5 linked regions of the Rattus norvegicus genome follow. The protein of the gene in region 5 interacts with the protein of the main gene of each other region in a pairwise test. Links are inferred from orthologs where the notes say so. Each region holds a gene or a part of one and is shown on either strand. Other genes may lie near its edges.

Region 1 (5,282 bases), on a different chromosome or scaffold from region 5:
CCCAAAGAAAAGCATCATGACAGTCATCTGAGGAGACGGCCCACGATTACACTCTCTGTCTATACCTTCTTCCAATCTGGAATAAACAGTTTACAGTAATTACTTTCTGAAGTAAGTAAGTCACATCTAGAGCCATTATTTGGGACTTTTTTTTCCTTTGACAAAAAAAAAAAAAACACCCACTGGGCTTTCTTCACGTGATTATGTAACACTATGAAAACTTTTTAAAGAAGAACTCGTAAATACAAAATAATTACTTAATAGAAACAAACATATTATCCAGAGACTCTCATTCGCCAGTGAGCAGACCAGCCAGGGAAAAACATTCTGAATACGCGTTTTGTACTAAACAGGAATGATGGTGACCAGACCAACACTGCATCCGTAAGACAGACACCCTCAGTACAGAGACATGCTCACAGCAATTAGGAAATCATTTCTTCCTTCCCAAAGCCTTATTACCATAACACTGGCAACAGTTTCCCATGATTGTGAATCTTGGCAGTCCTAGTGACATGATTGCTTGCCAAGCTGAACTTGTGGGAAAAGGATTCTGCTGTGGTTATCCTTTTTCTCAGAATGGAAGGTTAGAAGCATTTACACTTTGGCAACTGCAGGCTTCCTTCATAAAGATGACAGACACACTTTTTTCATAACGATTCCTTCTGTAAGCCATCAGAGAATACACAGAGGGAACAGGGCTCCTGCTTTTAATACCAGGACAAGTGAATGGCTGATGCAGCTTGTGAAGGTAGAAATAGGACTTGAAATACCGTAAGGAAAGACAGCTCAAAAGTGCCTTCAGCCTCCACAAACGCCTCACTTGTCCCTAATGCTCGTGCTCCCCTCAGGTCTCGAAGGCACCTGCCTGACTCCCTGCAGCTGCCATGCCTTGGAAATGCAAGGCTGAGCCTGAGTCTATTAATGTATTGAAGGAGAAACAGTAAAGCGAGCAGATCTACCCCAAGTATGGAATGACCCCAATGGTAGCATTTAGGCTCTACTGAAACCAGATTAAATCAGACTCCACTTGGCACCATCAAAACAGTTCTGACTAAAGCAGTAGGGACCTCCTGAGAATCAAGAGGAAACTGAGCTTTTCTAGTCTTTCATGAATTCTGACATGAAAGGACACCACCCCGTGAGTGCTGAGTGCTGAGATGAACCAGAACTTCCTTCGGATTCCCTAATATAACATGGATGCTAAAACAGCCTTAAGGAAATTTGTTCCTAAACACTATGGCAATTTAAGATGGGCAGTTAAATGATGGGCAAAGATAGAAATATGTTCTTAAAACATGAGTCAGAACTGTGGAGCTGAGGACAGTGACGTCATGGAGAATGCGTGCACACACACGTGTCCACATCTTGCTTCTCAAACACTTAAAAGGGTGCGGGATTTTGGTGGCAATGAACTAATGAAAGCTTAAAGAGGAATTTACAATAATGGACACATGGCCTGTAGACTTCTGCAGTTAAGGCACGAACACAAAAGGAGAAGCCAGGAACTCAGGTGAGGGCAGGACACTGTTCACCTTGTCAGCAACTGAGAAAGCAAAGCAAACACAGGGAGTATCCCCTGCTCAAATCCATCTACTTTAAGCTGAATATTTTCCTTTATTTCTTTCTTTGGGTTTTATTTAGATTCTTTGATCTTAGCCTCCCCTCGAGGCAGAATCACACCAGCTCTGCACCTCAGATTCGCTCACCAATACACTTCCTACTGGAAGAGAGGTAAATTTGAGAGGAAAACAGGAGATCGCACTGTGATATACATACAACTAGAAATTTAAAATTTCAAAGAAAGGAAGAAAACACACAAACACCCATACATATTCCCCAGCCTCAAAACCAAAGCAAGGAATAAATATACATTTCAAAACCCCGAAGTTTGAACTGTTCAGGGGAAGACTTGCTTTATGGGCTGAATTTATTTTGCTTCCGGTTCATAAACAAACGTAGTGTATACAGTCATCTGTCCGGGAGATCTTGCACAAGATGGATTTTTACATTGAATTTCATGCACAAGATTAAAAACAAGCCCAAATGTGAAACCTTCAAAAGTGAAAGCTAAAGAGCTCCAAGGTCTAACTGCTCTGGGACGAAGAGATCACGTCCGTGGACTGAGGGTCACAGAAAGGCCCAAAACGGCCATAAATGTCCTTGGCGCGCACGGCAAAGTAATACTTGCTGCCAGACACAAACTGCGTGAGAGTACAAGCCATCGGCAAGGGGAGGGCTTTGACTTCGCCGATCTTCTTCCACTGTGAGGGCGCAGTGGCACTGGGCTCCTCGTGGTAGGCGTACAGATGGTAACTGTCCACGGTGGCACAGCTCCGGTCCACTTCCAGGACGCTCCAGGACAGGACAATGCCATTCTGACTCTGCACTCGCGCTAACTTCAAGTGTGGTTTCTGAGGCAGAGAAGTGTTGGCAGCTTCTGGGGGCAGGCGCTGTGGCTGCGGGGCTTCTGGTAAGGGCGCTGGATGCAGAGGGCGTGGGGGCTCCTGAGGAAAGAAGAGGTGGATTGGTCTCTGGTGATTACAGAACAGGTTCAGAAGATCCTCAGTGAACACAGAGCTTAACTAACAACCTCACAACTACAACACCAATACCACTACCATTGCCCCGACAATGACGCTAAACTTTCTCAACTAGACCTCCTAAAGCACAAACATTATGTTCTCCTTGGGAAACAGAAATCCCTTCCTAATGGACTATCATGGAAGAGATGTTGATACAACTATGTCTAACAAATAATTACACTTTAACCTCTGCTGTAGATTCTCATTTTAGGAAAGCACATACGCTTATGTGTAGCATATAAACGGGTACATGCAATCACACCGCTCTACAACTACTGTCATATAAAGACAGCAGCACGTGTCTGGATGACGCTGAATAGCACTGCGGTCTGGCGGGTCCGGATGAAAAGGGGATACTATGAAAGACAGGGGACAGACTTATAGATGCAAAACGGCCAAATGCTCTCCACCCTGTACCAGGGGAAGCATGAGCAACAGTGGCAGAGGAAGCAGGAAGTTAGCCAACAACAATAAGTTCCAACACTTTCTTTGACATAAAAGACAGAAAGATCTAGAAGAGGAGGCTACGACCAGTGATTCAGAAGCATGGAGCTGACCCTGGAGAGCCCTGGTGACCTAACCCCGCACAGCACCAGTTACTGAAAACACTGCGCCCACAGCTGTTCTCAGATGATACTGATAACAGTTTTCAAAGCAGTAAGAGTCAGGACACACAGTGAACCTAAGTGGGACACGATACTCATTGACTTTCTGGAGTCACACGTTGTCCTTTAACCAACACTCCTGAACAAAACATAGGGTGGGCATGCAGCCGAGTGCTATCCCTACTGTGTGAGGCACTATAGCACCCAAGCAAAGCAAAGCAATACAGTACTAATTGTATGGATAGTTAATACAATGCTGAATTATGGGACAGTTCAATAATGTAACATGCTTTTAGATTCCAACGCCTTAATATAGTTAAGCTGTCTAAAAGTCAAAATATTCTACAGTCTTAAAGAAAAAAGTGCCAAGTTACAGCTTAAGTGTGATCGCCCCTAAGGAATTATCGTTCAGCTAGAGTTCAAAACCCAGAAGAAAACCTACTAATAAGAGAGCATGCAAAATACAATCCTACTGTAAGAGAAGCTACTCAAAGAACAAGGAGGACTGCGCATGTTAAAATGAAGCTGGAAGGAGCTGAAATCATATAGTGACGATTCCAAAGGGGATGGTTTGCTCAAAGGCACTATTTCTCGTAGAAAAGAAATTATACATACAGTTGTGGAGAGGCACACACACTCACCAGTTAACAGACAAAACCATGCTCATAGAAGCCCAAGGTTAAGGGAGTAGTATCACACCGAGAGCTGTTGTATTTCCTGTAATTATCTCTTCCTGAAGTGACTTAATCAACTCATTAAAACTATACAGCTAGCCAAAGCTAAGAGAAACTGACTGAAACCATGGGCTTAGGAAAGAACAGGAGTTGAATGGGTTTGCTCAGAGTGTATATGGCCAGCTGTACTCTGAATACATAAATTACGTATGCTTTTTGACTACTCCCACGTTACTTACAACCAGTCAAGGGTTTGTGTTGTTTTGTGTTGGTTTTGTCAGTGCAGCTGGTGAAGTTTTAGACTAGAAATACACCACTAGGTATTTACTTAAAAGAACCAAATGTGTCTACATAGACAGGGATCCTGTGGTATGCCAACTTTTGGGAAACTGAGGCAAGAGGACCAAGAGTTTGCCCCAGTCTGAGCTACAGGGAGAGCCCTGCCTCAAAGGAAACCAAGAAATGTAGCATGTACTATAGGGATCAAGGGATAGAGACAAACTGCCAAGAGCTGAAACCTGTTGAAACGGTGATATACAGGAACTACACTCTCTTCCCTTCAAATGTTTGAGAATGTCTTTACAAGGAGTTTTAACTGCATTAAAATAAAATTAAAAGTCTACGCCTGTAGCAAAACAGTTTAAGCTCTAAGAGTAAAAGCTTTCAAAAGCTGTGGTGGATTATAAACTGGGGAATTAGTCTAGTTTATTGTTTTCCTTGAAGAAAGCAAAACATACTTTTGTAGCTACAACAACAGAAATTTGTCATGCACCTCAGAACAGCTAGACCTGAAGCAAGGCCGTTGCGGAGGCCGCCCTGATCTGACCGGCTCTGGCGGTGGTGGGCGAGGACACGGGGCAACCAACCGCCGATACCTTCGTGACACACAACCTTGTATTTTCGTCCCCTCCTTTTTTTCTGCCAAAGTGAAAACACTACTACTGATCCCCATAGGATTACAGGGGTAAACAGTACAGTAAAATGCTCAACCAATGGGGCTACTTTTCAAATTTCAGTAAGATTAATGAAGGTCACAGCTGTTCAAATCTAGGTTCTAGGGCCGGGGACGTGGCTCACTGACACATACACACAGCCATAAGCACTGGGGCTTGTAGGCGGCACCATGGGTTGCCGACTCAAGCTCTGACTATCAGCTGCCACACAAGCAGTAAAGACCAGAAAGTCCTTCAGCACCAGCCTTGGAGTGCTCTGTGAGGGAGGGAAAGCATACCAGCATGTTAGAGACACAGTGAACACCCATGGAGAACTCTGGGTAATGTGCAGCAGCCTGCCCTCCTCCTTGCCTCTCTGAGAGCAGCACTTGCTCTCACATACACCCTATGCATATTCATGTCTATGCGTGCGACAGCACTTCCAAAGACCAGTTATAACTGTGCCACACGACAATATGACTTTGT
Region 2 (5,658 bases), on a different chromosome or scaffold from region 5:
TTGTTTTATTGCGAATTGTTTTGTGACTCTAACACAGCTGTTTGTGTGGAACACACATGCGTAGGGGAAGACAACGATGTTACTCACACACACTTATTTATAAATACATATATACACACACACACATATACATATCAACACCAACTTTTTTCAAAAATTCAAGTTGACATTTTAGTAGCAGAGAGACACTATAAAACATATTATTTTTAGATGCCACACTGTCATATGAACCACTTGCTTTATCATATAACTGAAGACACAGCCATCTTGACTTCTCCCTGGATTAGTATCGGTCCTTCTGTACTGATGCAAGGCTTGAAAACAAGTTTACTATACACAAAGCTGGTCCTTCACCAACTCTGAAAACACGAGGGTGTAATCTAAAAAGCCAGTTGCAGGACCTGGTGGTGGCATGCCTTGGCTCTCTGCAGTTAGGCCCGCACCCCCCATTAGCCACGCGTCATCTATTCTCCACTGTAAGAGCATGCTTTCTTCTCTGCTCAAGTATGAGAAGCACTTGTTCCTTCCTTTGACCCTTAATCATCTCGAAAACATTTTAATATATTTACATATTCTGCTATTGAGATTAGGTAAGACCAATCGATTCTTCAATTAAAAAAAAAAAAAAGGCTTCCTATGTCATGCTTGCCACTAAAAAGTGAAGGAAAAAAAGAACACAGCTAAGAATAAAAAGTATACTCAGAGCCTCAAAAACAAAATAACTAAGGTTATTTTTGAGTTTCAACTGTTTATCAAATAGATTTGCTATGAATCCACATGTGCTGAACTGTTAACTTTAGAGTAACTGACTTCTTTCCTTCCTTCCTTTTCTTTCGATGGAATGGAACGTCCTCTGCCAGCTGCAAATGGCACTCCACACCCCACGGGGCTACGAGGGTTCTTTCAGATCCCATTTCGGTATGAAGATCCTCAAGGAAAACTTGTTACCCTATGGCCAAAATGCAGGTGCTCACAGCCTTGGCTTACATATGGACCACTGGCAATTCAGATTTAGAGTCAACCAAAGTGTATTGTCATTCGAGGGCCTGCCCACAGATTGCTTATCCAGGCAGCTTTTACTCCAGCACTTCTGGGAAACACACTCGTAGAGGGTAGACAGCAGATCACAGGGGATCTGTGATGGAGAACATGCACCTGGGGAGAGTTGAGAAAGATGCTCACACAAGAGTTCAAGACCTCGGAAACATTTTGAAAGAAGTAGGAACTGATATTAAGCAAATGCAAACTGAGGAGGAGGGGACAGTGATGACAGAACAGTACACACAGGTGCACAGCACACGAGAGCATGCGCACACACACACACACACACACACACACACACACACACACACACACACGAGCTCTGTTCTGAAAACAAAGGGGAAGCAGTGAGATAGACGAGTTTCATAACTTAAGGCTGGCAAAACCCACACACACACACAAACAGAATCCAAGTCTGTCACTTTTAAAAATGGAAATCAAAGCTATCCCAACCCCTTCCCCACAACAAAGCCAACGATTTAACCTCATACATGCAACTGTTTCCATTATTGCAAGAAAGATAATGCCATTGAAGTAAAATAAAACCCAAACCATAGGACAAATGGTGAAAAGTCTTCAGAATCCAGAAAAAATGAACTGAAGGTTTGTGGGTGCTTGTTTTTTTCTTTTCTTTTTCTTTTTTTTTTTAACAAGTGTTTTATCAGACAGGCAGTCTTAGATTTATATACAAAAGTAAAACTGAAAATATAGTTTTGTTCTCTGTACATTTCTTTTAATTTTTTTTCCCTAAAAAAAAGGAAAAAAAAAACACGCTGTATACTTTTCTAAACAGGATAAGGTAAAACAGAGCATAGAGTTCTCTTCTGCCAAGTCATTTAATCTGGGATGGGGTGGGAGCAGCAGGGTGAGGGCGTCAGTCCAACGAGATAATGTCTGGTATGATGCCAAAGATGGATGCCGTGTCTGCGCTGCTCCTGCTGGCCACACCATGGCCATGGCTCTCCCTCAGACTGTTGGAAGACACAAGGCTGCTGTTGCTGCCACTACTGCTTCCATTGGTGGCTGGCAGAGAAGTGCTCCCTCCTGCACTTAGCTGATCGAGAAACATCTGCGAGGAGGTATACGGGAAAAATCGGGAGGAGTGCAGGAGGTCCTGGTCATCTGAGACCGCAGCTGCCGCTGCGGCAAGCAGGGAGGTGTTGTAATGCTAGGAGGGACCAGAGACAAAACACTCTGTTACAATCAGATGCACCTCTGTGTACTCTTCTCAGCAAAGCAAGGCCCAGGTTAGCATATCCCGAGTGTCTGGCTTCTCAAGTGACAACACACTCTGTGGTGAATGGCTGGTCACGACTACTGAGAGCAGAGAGCTCTGGCATGGTATCTGAAACTGGAATAACACTTCTGATTGTGTGTGCGCATGTGTATGTTTTGGTTTGTATTGCATGCGGGTCTTAACCCTCTATTTCTGACATGTTCAGAAGCAGTAGAAAGGATAGATCCCGCATTTCCAGTGGTCAGTTCAGCCTGAGAATTGTATCACAGATGCTCAGCTGCTCCCATGACCTGGCTGCAGCTCTGCTGGGCACAATGTTGGCACATATGAGCATCTCTGAGCTGGAAAGGGCAGGAAGAACTTGCTGTAAAAACCAAGCGATGTCCCGCCTGCAGGGGGCACTCTCAGAGTCAGGTGTGTGGAGCTTGCACGTCTCTCTGAGTCAAGGACTGCTGCTGAGTGACTGCGAAGGAAGGCTGAGGACAGATCTGTGAGCTACTGTGGCTTTGCCAGCACTCTAGGCTTAGGCCATTCTACATTTATTGAAAAATTAAATCCCAAACCTAACTATCCTTAATTATCTCAGTTCTATATCAACTTTATTTTGTTTTGAAACATTTATAACCTACTAATTAAGCACAATGAGCTCTAACACTTTCACATGTGTATGTTTTTGATCCTAACTGCTTCTGCTACTTCCTCTTGTTCCCTCTCTCTCTGGCTGATCTCCTTCCTTTTTCCAACAGTCTCTTCGAACGATGTGTCCCAATGAGTTTATTCAGTGTTGCTTACAGAGCACAGACAACTTAGCAGTGGCTATACCACTGAAGAAAATGTCTCCATTAACCATTAACTACCTACAAATCTTTAGCTTCTGACTGCTTTATTCTTTATAATAACACTTAAAGCATGAGTACACTATAAGGCTATGCAAAAATTCCTTTCTTCCTATCTATACCCTATGAGATATAGTTACATATTTTGCTAAAAAGACAAACACATCACACAGACACCCCCCCCCCCCTCAGGTCTACAAAGGTCAGGCAGGAGTTAGAACCAGTCTATTAGGCACATCTTGTTTCCTGGAAGGTTTTCAGGACAGGGACAATGCCTGCTTCTGGATCCCTGACAAGCTACTAGGTCTCATCCTGAGCAGGTGTCATTCTTCAGAAACATGCTGTGGTGCTTTGCTTGGTTTGTGCCTTTCCTCTGAGATGCACTTGTGAATAGCATACCATAAACATGCCCTTTTCTGACGTTCATGTTCCCAAGCATCTGAGGGGGGCTGCTGATGCTTCTCAGTGTTCCTGTGGCGGTGTAGCTTGGACAAAGGTCCTACTTGGGCAGTGGGTCCCAAACGCCACTAAATCTCTTTGATCACCTAGCATGCTGGCTCAGCAGATAGTAGCCCAGGTACTTGAGTTCAATGGGTGGAGTACACACAGAGGTGAGGAGGGCTGACTCCACACAGCTGTCCTTCGACTTCCAAACACGTGCTATGTTACACCAAGCAACAGTGTGCATGCAATAGTAATAAAAAATTAAAAATGTATATACAGGGCCATAGGAGGAGCTGAAGGAGGGAAAGAGATGGATGGAAATAATATAAATAAAGTATGTATGAAACTCTAAAAAAAAATCTCCTTGACTTATTTCTCTTGGTTGGGTCAGAGTCATGCTGTTGGAACAAGCCCACCACACTGACACTGGCATGAAAGAGGACAGACGTGAGCACCATCACCAATGCACGACTTCAATCAGGGCTCCAGCTTGCTGGCATGAAACCCAGGAGGGCATTCTGGACAGTGGCTGGGTCACTGCTTTGACAGTGGCAGCTACTGTTCCAAGAGGGAGGAGCTTCTGTGTTCATATCCTTAGCCACGTTTCTATGGCTGAAGCAGGTCTTTCTCAATCTGTGGCTCTCTCACTGTTTCCAAGGAGACTTCTTGTACTTGGTCTTGCTTTTCGAGTCTGTAGTTCTGGTGCAATAGGACAGCCTGACTGGTGGATGACAATCCCTGATTGTTTCCTTCCATATTCCTTATCACTTCTAATTTTGTACCCAGGTCATTATACATGACCTTTTAGCAACTCATTTTTACATTTCGGACTGAGATGAATAAAGCAGCATGAGCTAGAGTAAAGCATGGAGAAGGGGAAGCAGTCAGAGCTGCAATGGACACAATAGGAAGAAGACAGCGCACTGTCTAACTGAAAGTCAATAGATCTTTGCTATCAATACCCAGTACTCACAGACCGCACAACGTGCCCCTGGCAATGCACTAGCATCACAGGCTACAGCAGCTATGATGCCCTGGCATCAGGACACTTTCCTATATCAGTCACATGGCTCACCGCCCTGTGTCTTTATACAACAGTACTGAGAAACAAACAGGCAGTCACTGCCTTTATTCTTTACTGAAGGTGGGGTGTGATGAATGAGGCTTTTATTTAAATTCCTAAAGACAGAGCAACCCTGGGCACATGCACTCTATTTTCTAAGGAAATTTATTCTTTCTTCTGGCCATGTATTATACTTTTAGTTTAATATACAATTAAAGAAATAGGTTATTTTCACATTAACATACCTGATTGTCTCCTGATAAGAAAGGAAAGAAATCTAATCCTGTGGAAAGAAAAAAAAAAAAAAACCTCAGAGAAAAGAACAACAAAAAGGAAAAGCAAATCTTTCTAAATATTCAGCACTTAAGTCTTACATGCCACACCCTCTGGATTCCTATTTAAACACAAGGAATGACAGACCATGGTGGTGCACACCTTTAATTCCTGCACTTGAAAGAGGCAGAGGGAGATAGATTCTTAAGTTAGAGGCTAGCCTGGTCTACACAGCAACTTCCAGGCTTGTTAAGGTGCAATCAAAAGACTGTCTCAAACAACAAACAACAACAAAACCCTACCAAAACAAACAAACAAACAAAAACAAAGAACAAATCAAAAATCATGAGAAGTCAAACTGGAGGTTCTATGGCACTTCTACCTGTAGACTATGAAGGACAAAACCCAAGTTTTGGCAACTTTAAATTTAAAACCCAAGTTTTATACCTTGCTCTTACTTAATCTCCATATGTAACCATTTATTTATTTGTTTGTTTGTTTATTTATTTGTTTGCCTGTCTGTTTGCTTAGATGGAATTTCATGTAGAGCAGGCTGGCCATAAACTATGTTGACTTGGAACTTCTTAATCATGTCTTCGCCTCTTGAGTGCTGGGATTACAGGGACATACTACTTACCATGTTTAGTTTATCTGGTTCTGGGAATCAAACCCATCCTCTCAGGCACACCTGCAAACACTCCCCTTATATAACCTTTCCATTTAATTTACTGCCTCTTAGGGCCTTACATGACTTTTAGTTTGAC
Region 3 (5,658 bases), on a different chromosome or scaffold from region 5:
GATTGGTCCACTGGTCCTTTGCCAGCAGTTAAGGAAAACAATCAACAACAACTTCAACTGTGTTTAGACGGAGAAGGAAATAAGGCTGCGCTTCACGCACAAACGTGACACTAAACTGCTGAGAGTTCACTAGAATGGAGCCTTCTGGTAGGATCTGGATCTGTGTGCCCCGGCCTCTGCTTCAACGGTGTGAAGCCTCCTCTCCACCGACCAGAGCCCTGCGGGCCCCACCCAAAGAGCTGTGCTTCACGGAGTCTGCGCAGGGCAGGGCAGGCCAGGGACACCTCCCGGAACACAAAGACATCCCAGAAGTCTTAAGGCCCAAGCGGGTGCTCATAGAAAATAGACTTCACTTGAACAAATACCTTCCAAAGAGTCGACTTAAATCCTGATCCTTAAATCTTGAAGCTACTCTGCGAGCTGACATTGAGTTCAGAGCTTCTAGGGGTAGAGGAGGGAGGGCGTGGGCTTCACTGAGGCTGGTGGCTCCTCCCAGGCCTGGAGAGCAGCTGACAGCCAGGCCCTCATTCCACACACGGGCTTACAGCTGATGAAAACGCCCACGGAACTCAACACAATGGTCTCTTGCTGTTTTTGTCAAACAAAGGTTTGCTGGTGATGCTTCACAGTGAAACCTCCATCATCACTGAGAACGTCTCTAGAAACATCCCTAAGGACGAGGCCCTCAGGCTCCTCGAAGCTCCATGTTCTCCTCAGACGTGCGTGAGGAAGCCTGCTTGTCTGGAGGTGGACCCTGTCCCTGCGCACTGCATCCACTGCAGTCATAGGCTGTGGTTGTCTTTGCTCTTGGTCAGAACCTGCAAGTAAACTTCATGAAGCGTGCTGAGAAAGCCGGAGTCATTCTGGAAGAGACGGGAAGGACACACTGCCTGTTACTTCCTCAGAACTCGCCTCTAAGGTAACCACTTAGGAACACACAGAACTGACTAATTCCCCAAATAACCTGCCCCCGAGACAGTCACACTTACATCCACCATTCCATTTTCCAGGAGGATATACCTGGGAAAGGAGGCTGCTGCCAGGCAGGTTTCTGAATTTGCACCAATATACACTAAGCCTTGTCAAGCGTGAAATTAAAAACTAAGCAGACACCTGACATACCTTTATTAGATGTATCAGTGTGTCCTGGAGCTGAGACCTGCTGAGAATAATGGAAGGCTTCCTCTGATTTTCTGCTCCAATAGTGAGGGGGGAGGGGCAGCTGGCTTTCCTTTCTAGGTCTGCAGACCTGGGAACTGTTTGCTGGAACACACTGGGGGACAGCAGGACTGAAGATACTGCTGTGGTTGTTGCAGTAACCAATGGAGGGCCTGCGATCTGTGGGACACAGAATAATAGTCATTTCTGTTATCTGAGCCACTCGGCCTGCCTGCCCCTGCCCTTAAGACCTTATGTGTATGAGTGCTTTGGCTGCATGTATGCTCATGGAGGGAGGGAGGGAAGGAGGGAGGGAGGGAGGGGAGAGAGAGAGAGAGAGAGAATGTGTGAGAGTGTGTGTGAGAGAGAGTACATGTGAGAGAGAGAGTGTGAGAGAGAGAGAAAGAGAGTGTGTGAGAGAGTGTGTGTGAAAGAGTATGAGAGACAGTACATGTGAGAAAGAGAGAGTGTATGTGTGTGTGTGTGTGTGTGTGTGTGTGTGAGTGAGAGAGAGAGAGAGAGAGAGAGAGAGAGAGAGAGAGAGAGAGAGAGAGTGTGTGTTGCCCACAGAAGGCAGAAGAGGGTGTTGGATCCTCAGGCAGGAGCATCGGTACCGCTCAGCAGGTGCAGAGCCAGCCCTCCAGCCCCTTGGCTTGCTTTCTGGTATAAAACTGGGTTAGTTGCTTCTGCTGATGACCACACAACAGGACAGGCTAACTTAAAGCAGACAGAAGGTAACCTCTGAAAATCCAGGAGAGGAGAGGAGAGGAGAGGGGACAGGCTCATAAGCAGGTGAGTGAGTGCCGTGGGAGAACTGAGTCTTTCAGGTTGGCAGGTGAATGGAGGGGTGGATAACAAAACAAGGCAGGTGCTTATGAGAGGAGGAGGGACGTACACAGGTGAGGAGGCTTTGTCATCACAAGTAAGGGACTGTGGCAGGACAGTGGCTGTCTCCTGGGATGCTTCATTTTCCAGGAGTACCTCTTATAGAGACCAGGTTGATATACGGCCCAGCACCCACCCACTTACAAATGATCCACACGGCCCACCCAGTGGCTGACCCGCCCTCTATACAGTCAAGACGTCTATACAGAGTTAACACAAGGTTTCAGGCCACAGCAACTCTGTCCTAAAAGGGCATCTGAGACAGGACAGAGCTGGAATGCTACAGCTTTTCACTAAGGTGGTAAGAGCCCACCTTACACCAGAAGATCCCACAACTGTTCAATGTGCTCTCCAGGGGTGGGGGGAGGATGTCCCAGGGCTGGGGAAATGGCTGAGTGGGGTGAGTGCTTGCTATGTCTTCACACACACACACACACCACACACACACACACACACACACACACACACACACACACACACACACACACACACACACACACACACACACCACACACACTTACTTACTTACCGGGATGGCACTGGGTAACACCTTAGGCTGGGCAAATACTTCAGGATCCTGGTTTTGCTGCATAGACTGAAATGTTTAAAGGGGGAAAAGGATGAACAGATACAGCAAGCTTCAGTTAGTTGTCGGCGACAGAGCAGTGTTATTACCCAGGAACTTGTTGGTAATGCTCCCAGTGACTCATCTCCACAACGAGGGCCCTGGACAGCAGCTCCTGTGGAGTCCCCGAGGGATGTGTGGACAGAGCCTGTCAGGTGACTCTAAGAAGTGTGATGGGGACTGAACTCAGGGCCAACTCTACTAGTGAGCCCTATCCTCGGCCCTGGAGTTTGTTTCAGTCTAGAGGTTGAGACGCACCTGAGTTTGCAATCTTCCTGTCTTGGCTTCACAAGCGGCTGCTGCACACAGAATGTGCACGATATAAATGATTTAAACGTTTTCTGCAGTGCTGGAAGCTGAACTCAGAGCCTCGCGTATGACAGGCAAGTTGCTCTACTGCCATTGTCCACAGTCCCAAGTTCTCAGAGGTCCTCTGACCCTGGTTAGTGGCACTGAATAGCCTGCATCCTAAGTACACTGTAGGGGCAGAGAACGTCCTGGTGTTTTGTTTTGAGACCAGGGTTGTTCAGCCGGTCTCTAACTTGAGACCCTTGTGCCTCAGCTTTCTTGGCAATGGTTTTACAGGTGTGCACTCTCATGGCCTTGGGAAAGCATTAGTGCAGCACAGTAAACATGAGAGCTCCATGCAGACCAGGTCTTTCTGTTTTGATACAGGACAGCCTTGGCTGGCTTGGAGCTTGCTATGTAGACTTGAAATCACAGATTTCTACTGAAACATAGGCGTGTGTGCAGTGCACTATACCAGGCAAGAACAAAATCTTAAACTTTGGCTACTGCCATCTAAATGGGTATTCACATGTATGTAAGTGGTTCCTGCCATCTAAATGGGTATTCACATGTATGTAAGTGGTTCCTGCCAAGCAGCCTGCAAGAGTGTGGTGCTGTCTTCTGGGGCTGAATGTGAAGACGACAGGTGCAGACCATCGCCTGAGCGTCCAGATTAACTGCGAGTTGGGACAGACCCTTTCCCCCTACAATCAGAAACCTAAACTCTCTTCCGTGCCCTTTTTGTAGTCTATGAGAGCAAAGGAGAGGATCGAGTGACACCTACACACAGCACAGAGCCCTGTCACTGAGCAGAATGCTCGCTCCTTTCACGTGTCAGATCCAAATGCTGGCAGGCAGGCAGGCAGGCAAGCAGCAGGCAGCAGTCATGGAGCGGCACACTCCCTTCAGGCTGTGACCATGCGATGATCACAACAACTCAGCTCATTTTCTCGCTGGTAAATCTGCTGCTGATGAGTGACTTTGACAGGCAAACCTCTGCTTTACCTCTGTACAACCTACCATGAAGCCTCACTGACACAACATTTTAAAAATCCACTTGTCCACAGTGCTCAACCCAGGCCCCTAATGCTCAGGCCCAAGTGATTGACAGCTTGCTCTGGAATGGGTGGCCTGACTCCTGTTTCTGACATTAACAACAAGTCACACTCCTTAACTTACAATGTATTCCTCTTCCAATGCTAACTCCTCCAGGTTTGTTTACACAGCAAATCTGAGTTACTACAAAACCTGGAAAATCATTTATGCATGCACACATGTGTACAAGAATGCACACGTGTGTATAAGAATACACACCAAGTTCAGTTTCAGACCATAGAGAGGTAAGGATGGACAGGGATCCCCCCTCCTTCTCGTTTCTCTTCCCCCTCCTGCTCCTGTCTTACCTGGAGGGTTGGAGCAAGCACCATGTTGCTCAGGGAGGCTGCGACTGCTGCTCTTGCTGCTGCTGTCTTAGAGGAAGGCTCTATGAAGCTCTCAGGGGTGGCCAGCTGGCCAGCTGCCGAAGAAAAGTTGGGTGCCATCGCACCTTTTCCAAGTGGCTGTGCCTGTATTTGGTCATGCTGTGGGGTCAACCTGAGTTTCTGGAGCAGATCAGAGCTTGGGATGGCCGTGCCAGCTGTGTTTGCCAGGCTCACTGGGGCTCTGAAGGGGCTCTGGCTAGCAATCAGACTGCTGTGGCTTAGCTCAGGGACGGGCTGGTTCAGGAGTGGAGATTTCTGCCTAGGTGTGGTCCTTACTGCTTGCATCATGGTGCTATTCCGAGGTAAGTGGGGAACTTGTGTGGTGGGAGCTTCAGCTGGCAGAGTGGGGCTGAGGACAGGGCTCAGTGGGAGAGTGTAGCTTGGGGGATGCTTGTCGCCCGACTGTGCAATGGAGGCGGGAGTGATCAGCACAGGGGCGCTGACTTCAGGCTGGACTGTGTGGTGAGTGACAGAATGGACACCCAGGTTTTCAGCCTGAGGGGCTCCCCCTGACTGCTCAAAGGGAAACGGGAGGAATGAGCTGGGCTCTTTCTGTGGTGCATCTCCCAGCAGCTTGTCCGTGTCTTCTGACTCTAGGCCCATAGGTGCTGGCTGCTCCTTTGGCAAGGAGGTTCCAAATAATTCTTCCACCGTCAGATGCTTGTGACCGGATGGAGCAGACTGAAAAACAAGAGCAAACGGCGCGCTCGAAGAACGCTTCGGAGACCAGCGGACCCACAATCCTCTTCCAGCACGCACACATACACGTGGACAGTGGAGGAAAGCAGCCCAGAGCATCCTAAGATGCAGAAAGTGGTTGCCTGCAGGGCTCAGAGGCTCACCAAGGCCGAGCATGGGAGCTGTGTAGTGACAAAGTTCTGTTCTGTGGAGTTCTAGATAACGGTTTTAGCATTTACTTTGTTTCCCCTGGTGAATGTGGCTAAGGTTGGGGCTACACGCAACAAAGCTACCCGAGTCAAGTGCTCATGTTAGTGACACAGTGGCAAACGGTGCCAGTGTGGAGAGAGGGACTGAACTCCTTGATAGAAAGCTAGCATTGTACGGCAGGAACCTAAACACCCAAAACAACTTATCCCTTGGTCATTTCTCCTCCACATCCTGAGAAAGAGGGAAACGTTTACACTGAGTTTAGAAGTTGGGGAAGTGGTTCTCTCACCTAGCACATGCACATGCATAAAGAGTTTATTTTTATTCCTCTTT
Region 4 (5,658 bases), on a different chromosome or scaffold from region 5:
GTTATAAACCCTGCCACCTCTGCTCCTACTTGTATCCAAGTGTCAACCTATGAAAGGGACACTGTCCTGGCTGGTTTTGACACAAGCTGGAGTTATCAGAGAAAGGAGCCTCCCTTGAGGAAATGCCTCCTGAGATCCACCTGTAAGGCATTTTCTCAACTAGTGATCAAGGGGGGAGGGCTCAGTCCACTGTTCTCTAAGAAAGCAGGCTGAGCAAGTAAGGGGAAGTAATCTAGTAAGCAGCACCCCTCTTATGGCCTCTGCATCAGCTCCTGCCTCCAGGTTCCTGCTGTGTGTGAGTTCCAGTCCTGACTTCCTTGGGTGAAGAACAGAAATGTGAAAGTCTAAGTTGAATGAATCCTTTCCTTTCCAGCTTGCTTCTTGGTCCTGATGTTTTATGCAGGAATAGAAACCCTGACTAAGACAGATACAAACAGGAACTATTTATTATATCTTAGCCAATTAAAACAATTCTTTCAATTCACAGGTCAGAAAACTTGTAGTTTTCCTTAAAGAAACTAAAATTGGACAATATAGCTACAATGATTAGGACAGAAAATGAAGGACAAGGAAACTTCAGCTGGAGTCCTTCAGAAGTACCTTTCCAGCCATGAACAAGACCCCAGATTCCCTCTCCAGCACTACAAACGGCAGCAGGAAGTCTTGTCCTTAACTTTACCCATGGTGCCTGTGTTGAGGGGATAATTGCTACAGTTCTGTGTAGGTGGTGTCAAACATTTGTCTCTCATACTTTTTTTAAAAAAAGATTTAATGGGGGCTGGGGATTTAGCTCAGTGGTAGAGCGCTTACCTAGGAAGCGCAAGGCCCTGGGTTCAGTCCCCAGCTCCGAAAAAAAACCAAAAAAAAAAAAAAAAAAAAAAGATTTAATGATATATAAGTATACTGTCCTTGTCTTCAGACACACCAGAAGAGGGCATCAGATCCCATTATAGATGGTTATGAGCCACCATGTGGTTGCTGGGAATTGAACTCAGGACCTCTGAAAAAACAATCAGTGCTCTTAACTGCTGAGCCATCTCTCCAGCCCCATACTTTCAGTTAACTGACGTTTTGGGGTCATTATTTAGAGAACAGTTATTAGCTAGATCCCAGGCACTGCTATGGAACCCAATGCTGAGGTCTAAATATTAACTACGTTTGTGGTCAAATATGGGCAAGTCAGAAAACAAATCTTACCCAAGGACGCCAATGCTAGCTAGTCAATAACCTGAAAATACCTGTCGCATTATTACTAATTCACTGGCCACAAAAGTGAGACTGACCTGGTAGGAGGATAAGATGGAGGTGCGGTGACTGGCTGCATCGGGTAGCTCCCAGGAACCTGGGGATAACTGTAGTTACTCTGTCCATATCCTAGGCTGGGTTGATTATAACCCCCTGTGCTAGATTGAGGTTGACTAGTCTCAGCAGGCTTGTTACCATCCTGTGGTCTAAAAGGAAAAATAAAACAGTTAAGGTTTAATTTTAACAACCCAGACACCCCCTAGGTAAGAACCCCCCAGTTCTTTGAGCAATAGGAAATGATAAGACCAAGCTTGAAAATAAAGTAAATGAAACCCAGTATCATTCATTAGTATTTGCTGGAAGAAAACACTAAGAGAGTTAACAATGTTTTTGTTTTTAAAATTTGTTCTGTATTAACAGCTACTAAGAGACTTCATAAGCCTGTGTCGCCAATATGAACAAGTACTGGGAGGGGGAGGAAGAAAACACTTTTTTAAAAAAGTGAACTTAACAGGGTTGGGGATTTAACTCAGTGGTAGAGCGCTTGCCTAGTAAGCTCAAGGCCCTGGGTTCAGTCCTCAGCTCCGAAAAAAAGAAAAGAAAAAAGAAAAAAAGAGTGGACTTAGTGCAAATTCAAGTTTAGAGTTATTTTAAGGTCACTAATTTATAGATTTTGATATCTGTGGGTTCACTGACTAGAAACAAACAAGAAGAGACACTTCTTATCTTGGTCTGATGTAAATGAACTTAACCTTGCTATACGACAATCTCCACAAAATGGGCATGGGGATGAGTCCACCCCATGCTCAGACTAACTAGCAAATACCATCATTAAATAATAAAAATAATTCTCAACAACACAGAAATAACTCAGAAGTCCCACTTCCTTGTGGCACAAACAATTTAGTGGAAGGCAGTGGCAGAGCTAAGCTAGGGGGCTACTTAAAGCAAAGCCCCGATCAGCAGGTGGACTACAGCAGATGCAGAAGTACTGTTTCCTCACTGAGATGAAATGGGTTACAAGCAGGTGTCAGCTCAGAAAACTAGGATGGAGGAAAGGGTGACACAAATCAGTGACTTATCAAAACCAATTTATACACGATGGAGATCTGTGGCCTAGATACACACTACTGCAGAAGAGCATCACATGGGACTTTGTATATCTAACAAAATTCTCCAATATTTAACCCAACTAGAGTGGGGCCTTTAGGAATCAGCCAGTTAAATAAAAGTACTATACGGGGTTTTTTGGATATTAGCTACAAGTGGCTCTGACTACTCACTGCACTTTAGAAGTAATTTTGAGAGTGTTTGCCAGAGCTAATTTCTTACCTCTATAGCAGATAAAAAGTCTAGGTTACAAGGTGATCTCTTGTTTATTCCCTATAGTCTTCTTTCAAATCAGAATCTTGTGCTCCTTCAAGACTGTATGCAGAAGCCACCTACATGCATTGTCTAAAGTAAAGACCTGAAACCTTCTGTTAAGTAATATATCTCACTTATCTACTGAGCAGTCAGAGTACTTTATTGGACTCTTAATATTTAGCACATAACTGGCTAACCAGCTATAAATTTATTTGTCTATGACTTTTGGTTATCAAACCACTAATCACTACATATATTGAGGAAATCTTGTCAAATTCTTCAACTGAACCTTCCCAGATATGGAAATATCCTTTACTGACAAAATTGGGACATACAGTACTTCTTGACTCAAGTCTAACCGTTCCACCATGTACTACAACTACCACATATTTCCTAAAGGAAAGCAGTTAACAATTTACAGCGTCACTGAGCCAAAGATTAAGTTCTATTGCTAGTTAAACAATATGGGAAACATGTACTCAAGTTTCCTTGTGTTTAGGAAAGAAAAACAGCTACCTCCTTCCCCCAAAAGTAGTTCTGAAACCTGGCAGATGACACTTTCCATTTCTAGCCCTCAACAGAATACCTGTGTGCTGTGCTCAGGCACTCTGGAAACACTGGGGTAATACCTGTGTGCTGTGCTCAGGCACTCTGGAAACACTGGGGTAACAGTCAATACCTAGTGAACGTGAAGAGCAATTTAAATCACCAAAGCTGAGCAGCAGAGGAACCAACAACTGTGGCCTTACCTTGTGGGTGCAGTGGCTGCTGGCTGCTGGCCATAGGCTGGGTAGGCAGGCTGGGTGCCGTATGCAGACTGAGCTGCATAAGAGGCCTGCGTTGTGGTGACGGTAGCAGTGGTGGTGTCATAAGCCCCAGTGCCATATCCTTGGACAGGCTGGCTGTACGCCTGGGGGGCAGTTGGAGTGGTATAACCTACAACAAAAGAGACCTGGGTAAGATTCTCTGCCCGCCCTGCCAGAGCCATACCTGTGCATTTATCACCAAAACAACTTGGAAACGGTCCAACTCTGAAGCACCACAAAACTGAATTCCTATATTTTTCTTGCAGCAACAAAGTAGCTGCAAAAGTAGCAACAAAAGAGTGTTTAAATTGTTTTTATTACATGTATTTATTTTGTATTACGTGTGTGTACATGGGAGCTCATCATGGCATGTGTGTGGAAGCATAGGACAAGTTGTGGGAGTTGGATTCTGGTCATCAAGTTTGGCAATCAAGTGCCTTTATCTGCTGAGCCATCTCATTGACCCCAAAATATTTAAAATCTAAAGCACCATTTCTGTTTTCAAAATATATTTATGAGAAAAGTGAAGTGTGTTTACTGTTGTTTTGACAGGGGTCTCATGTAGCCAAGGCTGGCCTCAAATCCCTTACGTAGCAGAAGATAACCTTCAACTTTTGATTCCTGTTTCAAGCCTCCAGCCTTGAGAATACTGGTCACACCATACCTAGTTTATGTGGTGCAGGACCCCATAAATACCAGGCAAGCACTCTACCAACTAAGCTACATTCTCTACCTCAAGAAAGAATAGTCTTAAAAAAAAAAAAAAAAAACAAACAAACAAAAAAAAAAAAAAAAACAAAAACCACTAAAACACATTGCCATGGAGAGCAGGCTTCTTTCTGCCCTGGTGTGAGTAAGAAAGACAGGGATGGTTTTTTAGTGATTATAGACACATTTTTTTCAACTAATTAAAAAATAAAACAGGAAATAAAATGTTCCAGAAAGGGAGGTAAAAGGACAACCCTGGTACTGGACTCTTTGCCTTCTTTACAGTCAACAGGCACAGTAAATAATGCACTAAAAGGCTGAGCCCAGATGCCAGGATTCACATCCAATTCTCACAAAAGTTTAAAAAGGATTTTCTGATTGGGTGCATGCCTGTGATCTCAACATTCTCAGATCACAATTTCCAACAGACTAAACTACAAAGGAGAACCTAGTTAAAAAACAATACACAAAAACAAAAAGATCTCTAGTTTGAGGCCAGCGTGGGTTACAGAGGTCTAGAACAGCTAAGGCTACACAGAGAAACCCTGTCTTATAAAAACCCAAACAAATAAACAACCTCCCCCAACAAAAAAACCCACCCACCCACACTGAAAACCCCCAACATTAACAAAAAACAAAAAAGAGCGTTAATATTTAAAACCTATCTTGAACCAAGACTACTTAATTTAGTTTACACTTAGGACTAGCCAAACTTAAGAGGAAGAGAGACAGAGACGTATCATTAAATTGCCCAGACTTGCTTGCAATGCCTTCCACCTCAAATGTCAGATTTCTGGGATTACAGCCATGTACCACAACCTGCTTCTTTGATGCAGGATCTCACTATGTAGCCCTGGGTGGCCTGGAACGTGCTGTGTAGCTCAGGCTGGCTTTGCACTCACTTGGGATCAGCCTGCCTCTGCCTCCCAAGTACTAGAACTGAAGGCCTTTGCTAGCATACCTAGCTCAACTTTTTGAATCTAAAGTACTTTTTGTAGCACTAACACAATCCTTTCTTCTCAAACACTCAAAGGAGATCCTAAAATTATATACAAAGACCATATTTTCCCATCTAAACTGGTAAAAACCATTAAAAATGTATTTCACAAAAAAGCCTTAACAATTTTGAGTTGACATGCTCATGTTAAGTGAGATTTTTGTTCTGTAGTGTTGAGTGTAGAACCCAGAACCTCACATACATGTTAGGCAAGCATCCTATCATGGAACTACACCTCCAGCCCTATGTATCTGAATCTTTGTTTTAAAGTTCTAAAGGTAACCATTCACATTCAACTACAGTTGAAGTCCAATTTCTCTAAGACTTCTCCCTTCTTCCAAGATTCACAGAAGTTAAACACAAACTAAACTGATGAAGACAGTAACTTGTATCTCTAAACTGCAGTGAGAGAGCCTGTTGTAACAATTTTATAGTAACAGATACTGGGCTAATTAGTAATCTTTTTAATAATCTGAAGCACCCACATAAGCAGCCAAGCAAAATGAACAAAAACCAACAGAACAGTGACAAGAGACC
Region 5 (6,410 bases):
ACCCCCAGAATCAGGGCTCCCACTACCACCAACCACAGTTCTAGAAACCTGTAAGCCACACAGTGGATGCCTCTATTTCAGGCACTTGGAAGGAAGAGCCTAACGCCAGGCAGGCTTTCCAGAACTGTAAAACTGTGGGAGACCACGTTCACTGCTCTACGATGACGATGCAGCATCTCCGTAAGTTAGGACTGAGAGGGTTCAGTTCCTTAATAAAGCCATTTTTAAAATTCCATTTTCATATATACTAAAACACCCAAATTAAAACCAAGTGGCTTTTCTCATCTCAAAACACTTTAGCCTTTTGTTTCACTGGGGCTTTGATGCCCCTTCTGGCTTCCACAGGCAGCCGACACATACGATACACAGGCATACACGCAGGGAAAACACTCAAATGCATAAAATAATGTAGTAAGTCCAATTTTCAATGTTACTACATACCTCCCTACTAAATCTGCATGTTCAGTGTAGCAACTCTTTTCTTTTTAGTGTTACTAACTCCTACACAAAGCACTTATGAACAGGAAATAAATAAGACATGTTAAAAGAAAAGAGAAAAAGTTACAAGAATCTAGTTACTTACCATTACTCTGCAGTGTTAATCCAGAGAGATCTTAATTTTTTTTAAGGAAAAGAAAATGAAACATAAATCATTACCATGAACATATCTTCCATTACATTTTAAGTTATAGAACATCAAGTTAAGCCAGAGATTATAAAAATTCATGGGCCATTTCAGTTTAAAAAGTGAAGCAAACATTTACTATATGTGTATCTAAATTTCTATTTATATAAATACACATACACATATATATATATGTCTCTCATCTTATTTATAACAACAATGTACAAAAGAGGTAAAGGATCAATTTTATATACTCAGTTTTAGAAGTAAAAAAACCCCACAACTTGTTCAGATTTAAGCATTTACATCATCTAACACATCTGACTCCTGAGCCAGGCATGGTGGCGCGTGTCTCTGTGACAGTGCTCAAGACTGGGAGGAAGAAGAGCAAGAGTCACCCTTGGCTACACGGCCAGCTCTTGGCCAGCCTGGGACATGAAACCCAGTCTCAAAATGAATTTTAATTCTGATTCTTTAACTTCATTTGAAGTCTTGAGTAGTCCTCAAATACAAGCTTTAACTTCGAGAACTTAACATGACTGGGGTCTTTTCCCTTTACACATCTGTGACGGTTCTGCAGTGACAGTCCACTTACCAATTCCAGGTGAGACAACCCGCTCATAGTGATATGGGTTCACACAGACGCTATCACATTTTAAGTCAAATGCATACTGACAATATTTAACATGTTTTAGTTCGTTCTTGTGTAGATCAGGCCACCTCCACAGACGGGCATAGATCACATGAGGAAATCCTTTCCGACCAGCCACCTAGGACAAGAAGCAATTATTAATTTATTAAGTATAAGTTATGCAAGGGACTGTACAGAGTGAGAATCCATGACACTGCGAAACACACGCATGGCCTTGTTCCAATTTCCTTGGATACAACTAAAATCCTAGGCTTCTAAAAGTCGTCTCTTCTTTCTGAGGTCTAAGCCAACTGAAGTCTAGAGCTCCCAAGCATCATCAGAAGGGGACAATCACAGGAAAGACCATGGTAGAACTTTAGCCCCCACTCCCCAACCTCTGCTGAAGGGAAAGGTTACAATGTAATATAGAGCTGATAACAATGTTAATTTATGTCTAGGTAATTAAACCTGCAAGAGAAAAAAAAAGAAAAGAAACAAAAGAACAGGGTTTGAGAGCCTGGGATAGCTGACCACGTGGTTATGGAAGCTGGTCCTCCTGGAGAGGCTATGGAGGTTTACCTTGCCTATGCCTCTCTCAATCTGTAGCCCTTGCAATAGCCTTCATAATGGTAAATATGGTTTCCTCAGTTATGGGAGATGCTTGAGTAAATTACTTGAGCCTGTGGGTGGGACTGTGGGAACTCCTGACAGCAGACAGAAGCACAGGTAAAACAACCAGACCATTATGATTGGCATCTCCAAGTAGACTGGGTCAGAACTGAACTGAATTAGAGGATGCTCAAGGACGTTACCTGAAGACCGGCTTGTTTACCAAGATAAAAGAAATCTTCATGCCTTTTAAAGTCATGTCTTCAGCATATACTAGGAAAAACAGGTTTGTGAGTCCCACACACAATTCCACCCCTGCGGCCAATTTCAGACTGCGACTATCCTTTCAAAGACGAGAAATCCAAAGTTCAAGCTAATTGAAACATAGGAGTACACACCTGTGATCTCAGCCCTCGGGAGGCTGAGCCACAAAGAATAAACAGCCTCTCCAGAATCTCACTACAGCAAGAATTGGACTCCCACAGTTCAATTTCAAGGCCTGCACTCAGGTTTTTAAAATGCAAAAGTGTGAAATTGTCAAAAATTATGTCTAAAATCTAGAAATAAAATTCTAAAATCTACCTTCACATTTCCAAACTTCCTCACGCATATGATATCACTTGAAAAAAGTGACCACTGAGTATTGCACTCCAATGAAAATAGTCTAACATCCCTAAATGACAAGAGTCCAGTGTTATCAGTTAGGATATTTACAATACCAAAAAGGGTTGGCAGGTGGCGAGTGTGAACTATAAGATGAATGCCAACGTGCTATACAGGAAGTTCGCTTTCAACATTGGGTTTCTCATTTAATTTTTTAAAATTGTTCTTCACTGCATGATTTTTGAATAATAACATAAAAAGATAACATCTATCTTTTATGTATTCTTCCACATACTCTCATCAGGCACACTGGCAAAAGATGTACAGTATGTCGAGACAGAGCTATGGAGCTCGGGAGATAGCCCAGCACTGAGAATGCCTGAGGCTCTGCTCTGAGGCAGCATCCGGGAATGCTCTCTTCTGGCCTCTTTCAGTATCTGTACACATGTGCACACAAACACACATAAGCAACAAAAATAAATCTCTAAATATATGAAATAAATATATGAAGATGGAGCTCACATTAAATTGGTAGTAACTTAAGAGAAAATTTTAAAAGTATCTATTACTCTACCAGCCCAGAAGACGTTCAGAACTCCAGACTAACCTGCAGTCGTCCATCCAGTGTTCTCTGTATGGTGACACACTTGCTGGGGTGAGCTCCATTTGTAGTGATAGCTGTTATTAAAGAATCCAGTTCATCTTTCTTCTCTTTCAGCTTCTTTACCAGACTCTCAATTGCTCTTTTGGCAAATGTCTCACTCTCTCCACCTTGTCTGTGGCACATCAAACTGTGTACAATGCTCAGACAGGCGTCATTGCTTGTCGGTGTATTTGTAATAGACATATTGTCCATCTGTTCACGTTTTTTCTTTTAAATCAAACTTTCAAATTTCTGGAGTAATTTTGATCTTTTGAAGGCAGTGAAAACCAATGGCCAATGTTGTAAGAAAAATTTTCAAGACATCTGGTGAGCAGGATAATCTAAAAAAGAAGAAGAAAGATGAGAACACGTTTCAGAAGGTAGATACAATCATTGTGGGAAAGTTTTGAAAAACTTTTCCACTTAAATCAAAAGACTCAATGCCCATAGTTTTTAAGAATGTTTAAAGTTTGAAATGACAATTATAAAATATAGTTTTTGATACTCCAAATCATTAAAAATTCAGGCCTTCTCATCACAAAGGCACACTAAATCAAGTCTTACCAAATGTGCCATTACCCCAAACTTTTCCTTAGTTATTTCTGCACCCTATTTTCTACAGCACTGCTACAATCCTGACCCTTCTTAGCATTTATACTCGCCATTGTTATTTCACATTCACCTTCTCTAGAGCAGTGGCTCTCAAGCCTCGCAGTGTTGAACCCTTTAATACACTTCTTCATGCTGTTGATTCCCAACCATAACATTATTTCATTGCTACTTCATAACTATAATTTTGGTACTGTTTTGAATCATAATGTAAATATCTGATATGCAGGGTATCCGATATGCAACCCCAGTGAAAGAGCCATTCAACCTTCAAAGGGATCATGACCTACAGATTGAAACCGTTGCTCTAAAATATTTTTATAAAATGCTTCTCAACTCCTTATATCCCCACATAAGGAAGCAAATGTTCGTGTCTATCAATAGTTATCATTTACTCACATGCATAAATATAAATAAAAAGATGAAACAAGGTCTTACTCTGTAGCCCATGCTGGCTGGACCCGCCACAATACCCCTGCATTAGCTTCCTAAATGCTAAGGTTACAACCAGCTAATAAACTGTCATCAAAGAGACACTTTCCAGATAACTTTTTGCACGAGGATGTGGAATCAGAGATCAGGATTAGGATTCCAGTTATACTAAGCAGCTAGACAACGAGTTACTTAACCCTTGAATCTGGAACTAAAAGAACTCAAGGGAGAAAAAGCAGTATGAAGCGCACTGTACAAGGTTTCAGCACAAATACTCCCTGCCTGAATCCTGAGGTACTTGTTTTTAAAGGATGTTATCCGAAACACATTATACACTCATTTATTATATCTTCTCCTAGTAAAGCATTCCACAGAAAATATAGGAGACAATGACAGTTTAGCCACTGACAGTTCAAAGGCATACAGAAGGTTAGATAAAAGGACAACCATGTGTGCAGCGTCCACAGTCTCACTTTTAAATAATGATGATTTGTTAATGGAGAAAAGGAAGAAGGGAGAAGTATAAGAAATCACTGTACAGTCAAAAGAAGAAAAGAGAAACAGAAAGAGAAAACACAAATCCTGGCTAGGCATGTAGTGCACACCTGCAATCCCACCTTCTTGGGAGACAGAGACAGACCATAAACCCAATGCCAGACTGTACAACTCAGTAAGAGCTAACTGCCTGACACACACCCTATACACACACACACACACACACACACACACACACACACACTCTGCCAGACTGTACAACTCAGTAAGAGCTAACTGCCTGACACACACCCTACACACCCTACACACACACACACACACACACACACACACACACACACACACTCTTTTCCTAAGGCTAAGTAATAAATTGCCTGCTTAGCACGCTGTGAAGCCCCAAGATTCAAGATTTGGACTGGAAGAAAAAAGCTCCACTCTAACCTGAGAACTACTAGTCTGATACCTCTCACTGCCAGACTCACTAGTTTAACTTCTATATTACAACACCTGCTGTGGTAGTTAGAATAAATATGCACCCTATAGGTTCAAATATTGGAATGTTTCATCACCAGGGAGTGGCACTATTCGAAAGGATTAGAAGAATCGGGAGCTGCAGTCTGGATGGAGGAAGTGTGTCACTGGAGGTGCTAGGCTGTGACTTTCTAAAGCCCTCCCCACACCCTCTCTGCCTGCAGAACAGCTACTGCTCCCACTAAGATGATAATGAACTAAACCTTTGACACTAAGCCAGCCAGCCCCCAACTAGCCTTGGACTTGGTGTCTCCTGTGTCTCACTCTTCAGCAAATGAACAGTATGACTAAAACACCTGTGGACCAAAAACTGGAACTGTCATCCTCATCATTATATACCCATTGCTAGGACAGGACAGGTAAGTCCCGCATACTGTCCAGCAAACACATTGCTGTGTTTCACATGCTTAACTCATAGCATTCTTTAGCCTAAAACATTCATCCCCATTTTAACCACTCGGTAATTAAGCCCTAGCTTCCTTTCAAATTACAGCTAAAATATTAATTGCCCCCATAAGGGTTTCCCCTACTAAGCTGTTGCCTTGCTCTCAACCTCAGTTACCTCCCTAATATGCTTATGTTTCTTATTGATCCCCTCCCTCAAATTTAAATTTAAATTTTAAAAAATATATATTTATTTTGTCTCTCAGTTCTAACAGTTAAATAACACTACAAATGTAGAGGGTCAAGAAAACACAGTCTCACATTTCAAACTCCCAATACCATGTAGCTCCTGACTATGGTGATATGAATAAAAATAGCCCCAAATACTCCTATGTTTGAATACTTGGTCCCAAGTTGGCAAGGACCAGGAGGCATGACCTTGTTAAAGGTGTGTCACTAGGGTCTGGGTGGTGGGATGGGTTCTCATCATTGTCTTCGTGGTCACCACCTCATGGTTGTGTCTCACCATGTAAGCTCTCACTCCCCACCATGATGACCAAGGACTGACCCTGTGAAACTGGAAGCCAGCCCCAATTACACACTTTCTTTTCTAAGTTGCCTTAGTCATGGTGCTTTGTTGCAGCAGTAAAAACATTAAAAAAAAAAAGACACACCAACACATACCAAGCCAAGTGTCTATAGACTGACCTGACCATTTTTATTCTGTGGTACTCTCCTCTCAGGACAAACTTAAGTTTGCAAAGAAGCTCTTTTATATTCTAAAATTATTATAAGTTTGTACCAATGTATAACTTAAGTATCTAACCATTTTTCCACAGTGTTAATAT

What was found.
Region 1: the proteins of Smad4 (region 5) and Atf7ip interact in a two-hybrid assay, tested with the Homo sapiens proteins (2 studies listed by BioGRID and IntAct). The link is inferred for Rattus norvegicus from reciprocal best matches to the Homo sapiens genes SMAD4 and ATF7IP.
Region 2: the proteins of Smad4 (region 5) and Pias1 interact in a two-hybrid assay, tested with the Homo sapiens proteins (2 studies listed by BioGRID and IntAct). The link is inferred for Rattus norvegicus from reciprocal best matches to the Homo sapiens genes SMAD4 and PIAS1.
Region 3: the proteins of Smad4 (region 5) and Dcp1a interact in binary tests that used the Homo sapiens proteins (3 or more experiments, as listed by UniProt). The link is inferred for Rattus norvegicus from reciprocal best matches to the Homo sapiens genes SMAD4 and DCP1A.
Region 4: the proteins of Smad4 (region 5) and Ewsr1 interact in binary tests that used the Homo sapiens proteins (3 or more experiments, as listed by UniProt). The link is inferred for Rattus norvegicus from reciprocal best matches to the Homo sapiens genes SMAD4 and EWSR1.

What each region holds. Positions count from the first base shown.
Region 1 is NC_086022.1:171,195,952-171,201,233, reverse strand, and holds part of Atf7ip (activating transcription factor 7-interacting protein 1), read right to left. Parts: intron 2,508-5,282; coding exon 2,088-2,507; 3' UTR 1-2,087. UniProt on the Homo sapiens protein: Recruiter that couples transcriptional factors to general transcription apparatus and thereby modulates transcription regulation and chromatin formation. Can both act as an activator or a repressor depending on the context.
Region 2 is NC_086026.1:72,235,323-72,240,980, forward strand, and holds part of Pias1 (E3 SUMO-protein ligase PIAS1), read right to left. Parts: intron 4,905-5,658; coding exon 4,867-4,904; intron 2,210-4,866; coding exon 1,916-2,209; 3' UTR 1,156-1,915; coding exon of another isoform or gene 1,018-1,155; 3' UTR 1-1,017. UniProt on the Homo sapiens protein: Functions as an E3-type small ubiquitin-like modifier (SUMO) ligase, stabilizing the interaction between UBE2I and the substrate, and as a SUMO-tethering factor. Catalyzes sumoylation of various proteins, such as CEBPB, MRE11, MTA1, PTK2 and PML.
Region 3 is NC_086034.1:5,699,979-5,705,636, reverse strand, and holds part of Dcp1a (mRNA-decapping enzyme 1A), read right to left. Parts: intron 5,119-5,658; coding exon 4,360-5,118; intron 2,639-4,359; coding exon 2,573-2,638; intron 1,339-2,572; coding exon 1,123-1,338; intron 864-1,122; coding exon 783-863; 3' UTR 1-782. UniProt on the Homo sapiens protein: Necessary for the degradation of mRNAs, both in normal mRNA turnover and in nonsense-mediated mRNA decay. Removes the 7-methyl guanine cap structure from mRNA molecules, yielding a 5'-phosphorylated mRNA fragment and 7m-GDP.
Region 4 is NC_086032.1:84,193,401-84,199,058, forward strand, and holds part of Ewsr1 (RNA-binding protein EWS), read right to left. Parts: intron 3,547-5,658; coding exon 3,360-3,546; exon of another isoform or gene 3,240-3,359; intron 3,197-3,239; exon of another isoform or gene 1,452-3,196; coding exon 1,284-1,451; intron 1-1,283. UniProt on the Homo sapiens protein: Binds to ssRNA containing the consensus sequence 5'-AGGUAA-3'. Might normally function as a transcriptional repressor. EWS-fusion-proteins (EFPS) may play a role in the tumorigenic process.
Region 5 is NC_086036.1:69,546,233-69,552,642, forward strand, and holds the start of Smad4 (mothers against decapentaplegic homolog 4), read right to left. Parts: upstream 3,453-6,410; 5' UTR 3,325-3,452; coding exon 3,076-3,324; intron 1,396-3,075; coding exon 1,221-1,395; intron 614-1,220; coding exon 584-613; intron 1-583. UniProt on the Homo sapiens protein: In muscle physiology, plays a central role in the balance between atrophy and hypertrophy. When recruited by MSTN, promotes atrophy response via phosphorylated SMAD2/4.